3 linked regions of the Kluyveromyces lactis genome follow. The protein of the gene in region 1 binds, or shares a complex with, the protein of each later gene. Links are inferred from orthologs where the notes say so. Each region holds a gene or a part of one and is shown in the gene's direction. Other genes may lie near its edges.

Evidence for each region. The genes of interacting proteins can lie anywhere in the genome.
Region 2: MRPL11 (region 1) and MRP35 share a complex: the UniProt entries of both Saccharomyces cerevisiae proteins name them as parts of the mitochondrial large ribosomal subunit. The link is inferred for Kluyveromyces lactis from reciprocal best matches to the Saccharomyces cerevisiae genes MRPL11 and MRP35.
Region 3: MRPL11 (region 1) and MRP49 share a complex: the UniProt entries of both Saccharomyces cerevisiae proteins name them as parts of the mitochondrial large ribosomal subunit. The link is inferred for Kluyveromyces lactis from reciprocal best matches to the Saccharomyces cerevisiae genes MRPL11 and MRP49.

What each region holds. Positions count from the first base shown.
Region 1 is NC_006037.1:291,159-296,410, reverse strand, and holds MRPL11 (mitochondrial 54S ribosomal protein uL10m), read left to right. Parts: upstream 1-2,344; coding exon 2,345-3,082; downstream 3,083-5,252. Other genes in the region: KLLA0_A03311g (uncharacterized protein), read right to left, coding at 1-121; KLLA0_A03289g (putative nitronate monooxygenase), read left to right, coding at 513-1,586; TRM8 (tRNA (guanine46-N7)-methyltransferase), read left to right, coding at 3,396-4,232; KLLA0_A03223g (uncharacterized protein), read right to left, coding at 4,376-5,252. UniProt on the Saccharomyces cerevisiae protein: Component of the mitochondrial ribosome (mitoribosome), a dedicated translation machinery responsible for the synthesis of mitochondrial genome-encoded proteins, including at least some of the essential transmembrane subunits of the mitochondrial respiratory chain.
Region 2 is NC_006042.1:2,240,075-2,244,887, forward strand, and holds MRP35 (mitochondrial 54S ribosomal protein bL35m), read left to right. Parts: upstream 1-2,864; coding exon 2,865-3,152; downstream 3,153-4,813. Other genes in the region: protein channel TOM70, read left to right, coding at 380-2,194; NMA111 (Nma111p), read right to left, coding at 3,375-4,813. UniProt on the Saccharomyces cerevisiae protein: Component of the mitochondrial ribosome (mitoribosome), a dedicated translation machinery responsible for the synthesis of mitochondrial genome-encoded proteins, including at least some of the essential transmembrane subunits of the mitochondrial respiratory chain.
Region 3 is NC_006038.1:621,883-626,969, reverse strand, and holds MRP49 (mitochondrial 54S ribosomal protein mL61), read left to right. Parts: upstream 1-3,033; coding exon 3,034-3,426; downstream 3,427-5,087. Other genes in the region: KLLA0_B07205g (cAMP-dependent protein kinase), read left to right, coding at 997-2,364; RKM3 (protein-lysine N-methyltransferase), read left to right, coding at 3,918-5,087. UniProt on the Saccharomyces cerevisiae protein: Component of the mitochondrial ribosome (mitoribosome), a dedicated translation machinery responsible for the synthesis of mitochondrial genome-encoded proteins, including at least some of the essential transmembrane subunits of the mitochondrial respiratory chain.

The sequences.
Region 1 (5,252 bases):
TAAGTGCCCTTAATTGAAGATCTATATCGTCTTCCTGGACGCCATGTCCATATTTTGGAGTCACTGACTCTGTTGTTCCATCTTCAATTGAGAACAGTGCAGAGAACAGATCTGTTAGCATAGGATGTAAAAGGTGGAACGTTCCTATACTAAAATTGTTATAGATGCCTTCTTACTCAATAAAATCAGTGAACTAAGCGATCGGGAGTACTTCCAATCTAAGCCTGGAGACCTACGTTACTTCTCTGCATGTATCGACCTAGATATTCCTTTGTTATTGTTTTTGAATTCCTTAAATCTCGAACTGGATCGGTTTTTATTCAAAGGCTTGTAACAGGAAAAAAGGCAAAAGCGATTCATGTCTCCAGTAATTTCTTTTAAGTATCCCCAGATGTAATTGAATACGCAAACATGTTATTATTATCTATATCTCCGCGGAGTTCATGAATAATGGTGTAATTATTCGCAATTAGTCCAAGGTCGAGAGCTAGCACAACCACGGGTACTTTGTAATGTCAACCAAGAAAGCTTTAACCGAAATTCTGGGGATCAAGTATCCTATTCTAGTAGCACCAATGGCCGGAGTATCCACACCGGAATTGGCAGCAGCTGTATCTAATTCTGGTGGTTTAGGATCGCTTGGACTTGGAGCAAGTTCTGTCGAAAAAGCAAGAAACGCCATAATTGCGACGCAGAAGCTAACCAAGAGTCCATTTCAGGTCAATTTCTTCTGTCATGAGCCAGAAGAGTTGAACGTGGAGGTGGCACGCAATTGGATCGAATATTTGAAGCCAATATTTGCTCGGTTCCATACTAAACCTGAAAAGGAATTAACCAAGATCTATAACAGTTTCTTGGAAGATCCAGAAATGCTTGCAGTGGTGTTAGAATTGAAACCGAAAGTGGTTAGTTTCCATTTCGGAGTGCCATCTGCGAGCACTTTAAAATCATTGAAGCAAGCGGGAGTTGTCACGATGGCAAGTGTGACTCAATTAAGTGAGGCTGAATTGGCTATTGGGCACGGGATAGATATCCTAATCGCTCAAGGTGTCGAAGCGGGTGGTCATCGGGGAATGTTTAACGCATCATTAGATCCGGCAATATCCACGAGAGATTTGGTGAAATTACTAAAAGCAAAGTTGGGCACAACTATTCCTATAGTAGCAGCAGGAGGAATAATGTCTGGTCAAGATATTAAAGGAATGATGGAAGTAGGTGCCAGTGGTGCTCAATTAGGAACCGCATTTGTCCAATGCAAAGAATCGGCTGCGTCAGAAAATTACAGGAAATTATTATTTGACAAAACAAGAAATGACATAACTCAAATCACAAGCAGCATATCAGGTCGTCCGGCGCGAGCTTTGTTGAATAGTTGGCACACTGAGGTGGATATTCCAACTAGAGTGATACATCCAGGGTATCCATTTACATACGATGTGGGGAAGCAGTTAAATGCCGTGTCTATTCCAGATCATGATGGTACCGCAAATTCTTTCGCAGCACATTGGGCAGGATCCAATGTCAGCCGTATCCGTGATATGGATGCGAGACAACTAATGCAAACCCTTGTCGATGAGATGAGATAATTTTCCAGACCGTTACAGCACAGAGCTATGCTGTTTCAAATGTACGAAAATCCCGAATAGCGACAAATTCCACAATGGAACGATGAAGTTACACTAATTGTGCATTATTCTCGTCAGTTACATGACTGCATTTATTTTTTCAATGACGAAGTAGAGTTGCATCTCTTCACAATTTCACTACGACCCTATAAATCCCGGACTACCTTTTGTAAGGAAGAAATCTAATCTTTCGACATCCCTCCTAGCTTGGACAGGAGACGTCTATAACGGATTACATTATTTAAGCATGATGTTGACGATAGCAATGACAGTTTGCAGTTCGAAAAGAAGAGCAGAACTCACCAATTCCTCTATCATTTTAATTTGAACAGTCACGTGAATCGACCTTTGCCTCATTCGGGATTATATATACTATAAAGAAGATATATAAAAAATTACCAATATACATTTTTTGCTGCCATGGAAAATATACGAGAAAGTCTTCATTCCCTTCTCCATTGTTGATACCGATTTTGGCACTCATACCACTTCCAATTACCATTCATACCTTCTTACATTGAATCTAACTATGCCTCTCGTCGGTTTATTGTACCAAGTATTGAAATTCGACGATACTGAAAAATCTGAAAAAAAATGAAAAATCTGAAAAATCACTGAAGATTGATATATTGTAGTGAAGAGATATATTGGTGGGAATGAATTCGCTTAAAGTGATTCGAATCCACAGCTCAGGTCATCACCAACCACTCAAAATAGCCATGTTGTCACTTTTGTTAAGAAGCCCAGTGGTGGTATCCCGTGTCTCATATGCTTCTCCGTTTTTGGTTAGGAGGTTTGCCTCTACGCAAATTGAGAGAACTGTCTCGGATGCAGTTAGAAGAACAGTAAAGCCTTTGGACTCTCGTAAGACTTTCCTAATCGACTCTTACAAAAACCTGATGGAAACCAGTCCGGTAATGTTGTTTTGTCATCATAACAATTTGATGAAAGGGGAGAATGCACACTTCAGAGAAGAAATTAATAAGGTAGGAGGCAAGTTAACAATCTTGAGAAACAATTTGTTCCAAGTATACTTGAGAAACTCACGCAAAAATGACCCAGCTGCTCCAGCGAAACGTTCAGAACAAGACTGGAAGCATCCTTTACTGCCCTTGTTCAAAGGTCCTACGGCAGCAATTTCGTTCCCAGAGACTGATCCGGCAAAGGTAAAAAAAGTCATGAAATTATTGGAAAAAGCCCAAGACAAGTTATTCGTTATTGGCGCCAAAGTTGAAAATGATGCGTACGATTTGAGACAATTGGATTCTTTCAAGGATCTACCAACAAAAAGTCAATTACAATCAGAATTACTGGGACTATTGCACGTCTTGAGCGGTGCTGGTTTAGTTCAAACTTTAGAAGCTGGCTCAAACATGTTGTACCTAACTCTAAAGTCTCACGAAGATAATATTAACCCAGATAAGCAGAAAAACGAGAATGACAGCGAAGGAAATTAAAGTCTTTTGCCCCATCATGAAATGTAATATAAATCATTTTTACGTATCGATGTACTTAAATAAACCCATCACATATTAATATAAACTCCTGTACATATTCTTTGCACGTGACTTTTTTTGATCTCATTTGTATATTGTAAAGAAATAAAAAGTTTTTGAACATGCACTGAATCAATTGAGTCGAGAAAACCTAGGCGATGAGGTTACAATTTTTCAAAGCAGTTACTTCCACCAACCGTTAATGTGTGTTGAATAAACATAATTGAATTCTAACAGTGACTCAAATTTCCTATAACTGCCTTTGTTAGAAAATATGAGTTTTAGTACTAGACGCCAGGCGTATCGTGCTGAGAAGCAAGATCATCGCAAAGAATTGAAACATGTCAAGATCGATGAATCTGTGATTGAAAAGGTGGATAAACTATCTTTACCTAAAAAAAAGTTTTACAGACAAAGAGCACATTCGAATCCATTCAGTGATCATCAGTTGGAGTATCCAATAAGCCCAGCTCATATGGACTGGTCAAAATTGTACCCTCATTTCTACGATAGTGAAAAGAAGAAAATGACGAAAGATGTTACCATTGCGGATATCGGATGTGGTTATGGTGGTCTTATGATCGATTTATCTCCAGAATTTCCCGATGAAATGATCTTGGGTATGGAGATTCGTGTTCAAGTAACGAATTATGTCGAAGATAGAATTATTGCATTGAGAACCAACCACGCGAAGGAAAACGGATATCAAAACATTAATGTATTAAGAGGTAATGCAATGAAATTCTTGCCAAATTTTTTTAATAAGGGACAGTTGTCCAAGATATTTTTCTGTTTCCCAGATCCCCATTTCAAGCAAAGAAAGCATAAAGCAAGAATCGTCACTGATACATTACTAAGTGAGTACGCATATGTGTTGAAAGAGGGTGGTATCATTTATACAATCACCGATGTTCTAGATCTACATGAATGGATGGTAAAACACTTAGAAGAACATCCTCTATTCGAAAGGCTTTCTGAAGAATGGGAAGCACAGGATAAATGTGTAAGCATAATGAGAAATGCTACAGAGGAAGGTAAGAAAGTTGAAAGAAATAAAGGTGATAAATATATAGCATGTTTCGTAAGATTACCAACTCCAGATATAATCTAATATCTGTCGTATATAATACTACATATTACTTCGGGTACTATTCAAGAATATTTGTACAAAAACGAGTTAGAAAGTGAATACCTTAAGTACCTATAAAAGATGCATTATTGAAAACAAGCAGTTGAAAACAAGTGGCAATATCATTAGTTCGGAGGCTGATTATTGGATACGGCACCATACTCGATTTGGTTTGTATCATTGGTGCTCCGTAAGTTTCGTACCTTATTATATATCAAACAGACAGTCTCCGAGCCTCTTCTTATAAATTTTTTCAATGGTTTAGTTTGAGTTCTCTCTTCCTTCCATTGAAGAACCTGGGTCAATGTTGGTGGTTGTATCTCATCTTTATTAAACATGGATTGTGCATTCGAATAAACACTTTTGCGAGATCTCGTTGATGGTGCTACTTCTCCTCCACCACTTACTAGATGAGACTGTTGTTCTATTTCAGCGGAGGTCCCTGACTGGAAACTGAAGGTTGATGACCTGTCATCAAAAACAGAATCCATATCTTCTAATCTTAAACCAGCAGTCTCTGGATAAACTTTTAACACACACCAGAATGACAAGTAGCAGGATACAGTATGAATCAAGTACATTCTCCAATGGATTTTTTCTTGCAAGATAGGAGTCATGATACCTACTAACCAGTTAAACAGCCAGTTTGTAGCAGTAGAAGCAGATGCCATTGCAGATCTTGCCATTGCAGGCGCAATCTCAACAGGATATAGCCATGGGATTGGACCCCAACTGTAACCGAAAAAGGCATTAAAGATGATCACGAACACGACCACTAATCTTGGAGTGGCAGCAACATTCGCCCATAATGACATGGCTATTGCAAGCAAAGAAGTTCCCATTACCAGCGCCCCGGAGAGTAGGATTGGTTTTCTCCCCCATTTATCAACTAATTTCCATGGCAAAATAGTGGACAATATGTAAATGATGGAATTAATACCTGTCATCAACAAGGCCTCTCTACCAACCCATCCAGCTTGTTCAAAAACAAGAGGCGCGTAA
Region 2 (4,813 bases), on another chromosome or scaffold:
ACATGTAAAGATTTCGACCCAAAAAATATTCCAGATCCCAAACCGAAAAAAAAAAAAATGCAGCTTCCCATTCCGATCAAACACAAATACGGATTATTACGAGCAGCATCAGAGATTCCCATAGGTAAGAAGTTTCCGTAATCGAAAAAAAAAGTAGAAAAGTGCAAAATTAATTATGATATATAAAAAGTTTTGTAAACATTGAGCTATTGTATGGAACAGGACGAACGAAAGCCTCAGGAAATAACACTCAGTAGTAAGCATCAATAGGATCTAGCAGATTTTCATTGATTGAGATATAGGATTTAGTGAAAGAAATTTAGAATCATATCAAGACGCTTTATTTTGGTTTGTTGAATACTGAAAGGAAAAAAGGAAAATGTCGGATAATTCTGTGAGTTCATTTGTGACTCGTAACAAGACCGCCATCTTGGCAACTGCTGCTGCCGGTGGTGCTGCTATTGGTGCTTATTATTATTATAACCAATTGCAGAGGGCAGAATTGGGTTCTGGTTCCAGTGGTAGTAAGAAGACTTCCAAGAGTGAAAAGAAGAAGAGGGCCGGGAAGAAGAAGAAGGATTCGTCTTCTTCATCAAACGGTTCTGATGTCGTTTATCCAGTAGACGCTAACGGTCAACCAGATTTGTCTAAGAAGGATGAGTTTACTCCAGAACAAGTTGACAAATATGCTTTGGCGTTGAAGGACAAGGGTAATGAATTCTTTAAGGCCAAGGATTTCGAAAAGGCTATTGAATATTATACCTTAGCTATTTCATTGAAAGAGGATCCAGTGTTTTACTCCAACAGATCTGCTGCATACGTCTCAATTAACAATTTCGAAAAAGTTGTTGAAGATACCACTGCCGCTTTGAAATTGAAGCCTGATTACTCCAAATGTTGGTTGAGAAGAGCTAGTGCTTATGAAAACTTGGGCCAATTCTCCGATGCTATGTTTGACTTGTCGGCTGTCTCTTTGTTGGGTGAATACAGCGGTCAATCCGTGGAGCAACTGCTGGAAAGAAACATGAACAAACAAGCCACAAAGGTCTTGGGTGAAAAATTGAAGGAGAACCAGGGTAAAGAATCTCCATTACCATCTAACACCTCTTTGGCATCATTCTTCGGTATCTTCAACCCTGAAACTTCTTTCGATGATTACGATGGCGAAAATGAAGCAGATGTTGAGTTGAAAAAAGGTTTGGAAAACTTGTACAAATGTCAAACCGGATGTTACGAATTGGCTGATGAAGAATTCACCAAGGCTGCCGAGTTATACAAGAAAGAATTAGAATCTTCTCCAGATAATGAATCTTTGAAGAAGAAGGCTGCCATCGCCTTCGAACATGTGGGTATTTTCAAGTTCTTCAAAAATGATCCAATTACCGCGCATATTAACCTGGAAGAATCGTTGTCTTTGAACCCAAGACCTTCTACTTACATCTACATGGCTTTGATTATGGCTGACAAGGGTGAAGCCAACCAATACAAGGAATACTTTGACAAAGCTTTAGAATTAGATCCAAACTGCTCTGCTGTTTACTATCATCGCGGTCAAATGCATTTTGTTGTTGAAAACTTCAAAGAAGCTGGTGCCGATTTCGATAAGGCTAAGGAATTAAATCCAGAAAACATTTTTGCCTACATCCAATGTGCTTGCTTGGCTTTCCGTGACGATAGATTTGATGATTGTGAAACTTTGTTCAGCGAAGCCAGAAGAAAGTTCCCAACTGCTCCAGAAGTTCCAAACTTTTATGCCGAAATTTTGGCTGCTAAGAACTCTCTAGATGCTGCCATCAAGCAATACGATATTGCCATCAAGTTGGAAGATGCTTTACCAGGTATTCACGTCGGTATTGCTCCAATGATTGGTAAGGCCACTGCTTTGATTAGAAACCCAACCGTTGAAAACTTCGTTGAAGCTTCCGAATTATTTGAAGAAGCTTGTAAGATCGATCCAAGATCCGAACAAGCCAAGATCGGTCTTGCTCAACTAAAATTGCAACAAGAAGAAATTGATGATGCCATTCAATTGTTCGAAGATGCTGCCGATCTCTCAAGATCTTTCGATGAAAAACTACAAGCTACTACTTTCGCTGAGGCTACCAAGGTCCAGAAAAAGATCAGAGCTGATCCATTCATTAAGGGTAAGATCGACGAAGCTATTGCAGCCTACCGTGCTCAAGGTCTCGCGTAAATTAGCATGATATTCACGAATGAATTTAATTCATTTCAATATGAGTAAAGCTACAATAGCTCATTGTTTTTGTCTCACCTTAATGACCATAATGGCAACATACCATGCAACATCTAAACGAATGAATTACCAAGAAAGTTATGATTTTACAAACAAAAAGTTGTAGCATTTCACCCAAGTTATTTATGACTCGTAAGCAGCGTGAACTGTGTTAATCGTAAACGACAAGATCTCAACATTACAACGTGAAGAATAAGAAATAGTTATCAATTCTTCACAAAAACAAGACAAAAAGAAACACAGAAGAACAAGAATACGAGAACAACGCTTTTCAATAACAGCTCATTGCAAAATATGTGCTCCTAAATACCCCTGGTTCAAAAACATCATCTTCTACCATTTTGCTAGAAACAAATACGTCTTTCTGTATATACATGTATCTCCCCCATCTCACAATTTAATCAAATTGTAATTTTAAACACTTCGATAGTATATCACTACATACGTTTCAACATAAATGACATTTTTTGTTTTCTCTGAAAGAAGTGTATGTAATAAAAGTTTCTTGTGAGATTATGGCAAGGTACTGAGTGAAAGTGAGCTACAATTCAAGTACTTCATTGTTAACGGACTATAGCAGGATTTACCCCACCAGCGAACTACTTCAAATATGCTATCTTCTATCTTTGGTTCGATGATGAACTTTTCCGCTAGAACTGGACTTCTGGGATCTAAAACTAATGTTTCATCGCTCATCCTCACCAGAAACTTGATGAAAACACACAAAGGTGCCGCAAAAAGATGGAGAAAAACAGCCAATAGCTTCAAGAGGGGCAAGGCTGGAAGAAATCATGGTAATGCTGGATGGAGTAGGAACTCCCTTAAATCATTATCTGGCAGGTCATTAGCAGACTCCACACATATGCATCGTTTAAAGAGATTGCTTCCATACCATTAAGAGATGAAAGGCAATTAAAATAAGATATCGTTTCGATTTCAATCCTGTACATATAACAATGGCATCCCCATAATGAATGACACACCATTTCTTACCATGATTTTCAGTAAAGCATGTCATGAAAAATCAGCGGGTTACTATAATGGATAATTATCATTAATAAATACCTATATACAATTTGCAAACAACGGTAAAAAATGATTAATCATATATATAGTCAAATTAAGTCTCCGAGATATCATTCTCGATCCAACTACCTGTTTTTGGATTCTTTCTTAATTCTACCGTTGGGAAGTAGTGATAGTTTGTCTTTAAGGAAATGGCAAACGGAACATCGTCAAATGTCATTAAGCGTAACTTGCAGTATGTATTATCTGGGATTTCTTTAACAACCTTCAAGAATGTATCCAAATCAGGTGTTGATTGGTCATTGACGTGTGTGATAAAGTTGGTCACTTCTATTCCGTACTGTAACGCCAAAGAAGATGTACCACGAGAAACCGCATATACTTCACTAGGAATAGACGTTTTTACTTGACGCACGGCATGATGAGGAGCTTGTAGTACGCAACCTGCGAATACGACAATTCTAGTGGTTTCTTCAATTTGTACAGTTTTTATTTTCAAATCGATAACCTTCGCATCTCTTACAACCTTGAATAACAACTCAGATTCGATATCCGTATCGTCATCAGTCCCCACGACACCACCAATATCCCTCATTCTTTTTACCAGTTTCCCATTAACTGATAAGATAATATCACCAGGCTCGAGCCTTTCCTTTATTGTTGTATAGGAGTTTCTGGTGACACTGATGAATTGTAATCTGTTTTCTGATTCTTCTTCCATCATCTTAATCCATTCTTCAGGAACACCTCTGATTCTAGCCTGCAATAATGAGATGGAATCAAATCCTGCGTCCACAATAGAAACCTTAGGATTCTTACCAGCCCTGAGAATATCTACAACTTCTTTGATATCCACTACGTCTAAACCCATTAAATACAGTTTTTCCTTGTTACCCATGCAGGATAACCAGATTGCTCTCACTGTACCATCATCTGCCGCTAATATTCCTGATTTACATTTGGTGCTTATATTCGAATCAATGGAGATGACTTCTAGATTGGTTGCTCTATACCTAGGAATGATGTCGTTAGGAACACTCAGAGAAGAGATGCCATTGACTTTAGTCTTGGAACTGATTAAAGTGTTTGAGTACATGTAACCAATGAAATTAGTTTCGTCTCCTCTTTCAAGCCTTTCATTAGCTAGCACTGGTGTGCATACTGGGGCGTCAACTAAAGATGGATCATATTGAACAATAGCGTAATTTTGGGTAGGATGTAAGAATACAACTTTAGCAGGTACAAGAATGGATTCAGCGAACGAGACAAACGTGTTCAAACAGTCATGAGGAACAAAACTACGTGAAACAATAACATATCCCTTCTCAGCATCGAGTACTAAACCACATCCGTTTGTGGGTTCGGGTTCCATGGAGTCCATGGTGATAGCAATAACCGAATGTACAACACATAGACTATGTGACATTTTTGCAAGTTTTTTATTATCATTAATCGGTAGATCTAAAATCTTAGCTTTCTGTGGTTTTATTGGAAGTGGTGGTAATTTCTCAGTGATCTTTTCATAATCCCAAA
Region 3 (5,087 bases), on another chromosome or scaffold:
TCCTATGTGCTTGGTTGGTATACGGGACGTATTGCCATTTCCCAGAGTATAGACCGTTCAAACCATCCATGGCTACCCCCCCATTATGGCAACCTTCGACGTATCGGTAGATCTACAGAGTTATCCCTGAACATACATTTAAGTATATATACATACATGTATTATGCCATTACTGATGCTGAACACTGGAAAAACAACAGCAACATAAATCCGCACAATAAAATCTTACTTGTGAGTTTGCATAAATTAAGCTATTTACCGTTTTGAGATCACCGCTACGGTTGTCCTAGCCTTTAACTTCTCAGAACCGTCCAAAATCGAATTTGAAAGCGAATAGTTTTTTTATTTTGAAATTTGAAATTTAGGTTAAATTACAAGAAACAAGGAAATTTCAAGAAGTTTGACAAATAACGGAGAGTTTTGAGGACACAAGTGGGAAATAGATCAAGCAACCCGCAGAGTTACTGGTTTGAATTGAAGCGCACGTAAGATATTTGTACAATAAGTTTAATTTGACGTTGTACCGATAAAAAAATAAAAAAATAAAAACTAAAACGGTTAGGTTTTAGGCAATTTTATTCTTTTCCATCCTTTGCTATACTGTGAATTTTTTATTTGCTACTTTTCATTGTGACGTTTCCTTTTCCTCAAGGCACTGGCTTACTATTAACAATATATTCATAGTATCATCTACTGGACACACCCTGGGGTCGATACGGTTACTGAATTTCCTGATTTTCTTACCTACTTGTTTCTGTTTTGGGGTATTTCGAATAAGGGACAAGATACACTTTTCTTCATCATTAGTTTTTTTTTCAACATTCAGATCAGACCTTGGTTTGAAGGAAATCGGATAAAGGCTGGGCCTTATTTAGAACTCTTTCTAGTGAGAGTATAAGAGATATATCACTGTTTTGACTCTGTGCCAACTTTCTCTTTTTTTCCAATCTGAACCGCTATATCTTGCATGAGGCAAGACCTGCAAAGAGAAGAAAGATGAGACCTTTTGACAACGAATCCAAGGGATTTCTTTCTGGCCGAACAGATCAAATTGAATTACCTGTGGTACAGGCTGTTTCAACAAGTTCAAATTCTCAAGAACCACTTCTTTCTAGCAAAGACCCACTACGAGATGGAAGCAACGTGGGGAATAGGTTGAGTGGAAACAGCGAAACTCTGATAACCAACTCTGATGCTGATCATCCTATGGAGACGGATAATAATAACTCTAATCTTAATAATACTAATTCCTCTACTAATACTAATGATAACAAAGATTCGTCATCCAATTCCAGCAATAATGAAAATGGGGACAGTAGCAACAATTCAAATAGAAGGCATAGCAACCATTGTCACAAGCATAACCATCTAAGCAGCACTTCTACCCTCAAGGCAAGAGTTACTTCTGGAAAATATGCATTATATGATTTTCAGATTCTGAGAACTTTGGGTACAGGTTCGTTTGGTAGAGTTCATTTGGTGAGATCCAATCACAACGGCAGGTTCTATGCAATGAAAGTTTTGAAAAAAAACACCGTTGTCAAATTGAAACAAGTGGAGCATACCAACGATGAAAGAAATATGCTAAGTATAGTATCCCATCCTTTCATAATTAGAATGTGGGGAACTTTCCAGGACTCACAGCAATTGTTTATGATCATGGATTACATCGAAGGTGGTGAACTATTCTCTCTTTTAAGGAAGTCTCAAAGGTTCCCAAACCCGGTCGCGAAGTTTTATGCAGCAGAAGTTTGTCTTGCGTTGGAATACCTACATTCTAAAGGCATCATTTACAGAGATTTGAAACCAGAAAATATCCTTTTAGATAAGAACGGACATATCAAGTTAACTGATTTCGGGTTCGCTAAATATGTTCCTGATGTCACTTACACTCTCTGTGGAACACCGGACTATATCGCACCTGAAGTGGTAAGCACAAAACCTTACAACAAATCTGTGGATTGGTGGAGTTTTGGTGTTTTAATCTACGAAATGTTAGCAGGATATACACCTTTCTACGATTCAAACACAATTAAGACCTATGAGAATATTCTAAATGCTCCAGTAAGATTCCCACCATTTTTCCATTCTGATGCTCAAGATCTAATATCGAAACTCATCACAAGAGACTTAAGTCAACGGCTAGGTAATTTACAAAATGGAAGTGAGGACGTAAAGAATCATCCGTGGTTCAGCGAGGTTGTGTGGGAAAAACTACTCTGCAAAAACATTGAAACTCCATATGAACCTCCTATTCAGGCCGGACAAGGCGATACCTCTCAATACGATAGGTATCCAGAGGAAGAGGTTAATTATGGCATTCAAGGCGAAGATCCGTACCATAGTATTTTCACCAACTTTTAGCAGGCATACTTGCTCATGAAATTCAGATATCAACATGCCTCTTATCTTGCATCTACACAATATGTAAACTTTAACACGCCTTTCCCCCCGTTAGTCCCTTTTCTTTTTTTTTTTGTTTTGATATATCGGCTCATTGCCTTCAGAAACGCTGCCGTTATTTGATACATTCCTTTGAATGACCATCGTACAATACTAGATGGATTGATGTACGCACTTCCAATTCAAAATTCGTTTCATTCGTTTTGCTGTACTCTCCAATGGATGCTCGATGCAATAATCTTATTTTTGGAGTATTTATCTATCTATAATCAATGGCATTTACATATTTTGAATGCATGTATAAGACTTCATCACAAGTCCTTCCCTCACGATCCATGCTACATAAATTGTAAACTGGGGTAAGTCATGGCACATTCATTTATGTTTTGGACGTAACTTGCTTCTGTCGAATGATTTCACGTGACCAATGAATTTTTTTCCAAACTATTGAAAATTCAAAAAGTTCAGTGGACATGTCCAGTTGAAATGAGAATGATTTTACGAAATAGATGATTGAAGTGATATTGCTGAAAGTGAAGGGTCCTGGTTGCTCTACTTTATCGTCAAGGTTTATTTTACCGATTGGATACTTATACTCATTGTCACTCTAGAGAAGATCATTAATAAATAATGTCAGGAATCGTTAAACAACAAAAATTTTTGAACAAGATCAGTGCGACTACCGTGAAACCTCAAATTATATTAGATGTATCGAAGTACAGTGCATTGAATGTGAAGTTCCAGTATCAGAATTTCAATGGCCATATGGGTGCCCGTAAGTTCTGGCACGAGTTTTTGCCTTCTCTGCAGTTTTACAACCCTGCGTTGCCAATCAATGTGACCAGAATTAGAAACGATGATAAAAAAGTCGATGTACCATGCATACTAGAAGCTATTGGATCCGATGGGAAGGTTGTAGCTGAAGTTTCAATGAAGCACAAACACTCATCTGAAATTATGGATGAAGTGCTACAGAAATTGGAACACAAAAGAGTACCCCAGGAAGAAATAATAAAGGTATGAGCTCCGACCTTTGACAAAGAAAAACAAACAAACTGGAATACCTAAATATACTACTTTCAAAGTTAGGTCCTGTACATATGTATATAATAAGATACTTTTCATCCGATTTGATGTCTTATTCAAATGACATATCCTTTTGAGATGAGTTGACTCTCTGCCCAAGGATCGTCAAGACATTCAAGAACACGCGAGAAGAAGATTTAAAACGCCAGTATATGGTTACCAGGTGGTTATTTAACTTGAATTTCAGAACGCCTCTTACATCTAATTGTCATTAAGACATCTTACATTAACAGCGACTTCTTCATCTGCGGAAATGGTTTTCTGCGTATTGTTCAGTTGAAATTTTTCAATCTCGAAAATGATAAATCGCTTCAGATCTCATCATCTCATCTCATCTCATCGGTTGACCACAGAAATTATCAACACCCCAAAGAGGCATATAGTAGGGGCATTATTCACAGGTGAAGACTCTCAACCCAACAACACGAATGTCTAATACAGACTCCAGTGATACAGATGATATTCTAACATTTGTACTGGAATCCAAGGGGTTTTTCCACACTGCCGGCTGTGAGATTAGAAGATCTGATTATGGTGGTTTAGGAGTGTTTGCATTAAAGGATTTGAAGGAGGACACTGTACTCCTTAGGATTCCGAAATCTTCTGTTTTCACTGCAGAAAATAGTAGCATTGCCAATCTACTGGTTGATAGCGAGGTAAAAGGCATGTTGGCATTAAACATTGCATATATTTATGAAGTATTCATATTTCAAGTTGAAAGCCATTGGTACAAATATTTGAAGAGCATTTCACACAGACAAAATGGGAGTCTATATCTTCCACCGGCATACTGGGAAGATAATGAGAAAATTTTGCTGAAGAATACTGCATTGGATGTTGTATTCGAGGCGTTGTCTCCACAAGAAGAGATAGAAAATGGTTTCAAAGTTGGTATTGCATTATCCCGTAAGTGGAACGAAGAATTTGGGCTGAAAATACCGTATTTGTTCGACTTCAATTTAGAAGATCAGAAGCAAGTCTCTTCGAATTTTAAAGAATTTGCTGCTATAGCATTCGCCATATCGTCAAGAGTATTTGAGATCGACAACTATCATGATTCTGGATTAGTTGCCATAGCAGACCTTTTTAACCATCACGCAACGAGGCCCGACGTAAGGTTTGAGAGCATGTATGATGTGTGCGATATGTGTGGGGAATTAGGGGATTGCAAGCATGTGATTGCTGAGACGAAGGCATTGGATATGGAGATGGAACAGAGAACTCAAAGAATAACACCAAGGGAAACCGGGACAATAAGCTTGTCAGTTATTGAAGAGTTAGAAAGAGAATTAGACCCTTCAGATTCAGAATCTGTGGAGGAAACTGTTTCTGATGAGAATGCAGAAGAAACTCCTGAGGCAATAATGCCCAAGAACATTGATACTGATGAATGTGTAGATATCATTCTTTCAAACGATGTCAAAGCGGGAGAAGAAATATTCAACTCGTATGGTGACCATTCCAACTCGTACCTATTAGCCAGGTACGGATTTTGCATCGAGGATAATCCACACGATGTAGTTGATTTATCGGAAGAGTTGGTGGAGTATGGACAAAAGAATTCCAAACGGATTGGAGATAGGATGGAATGGTGGGAG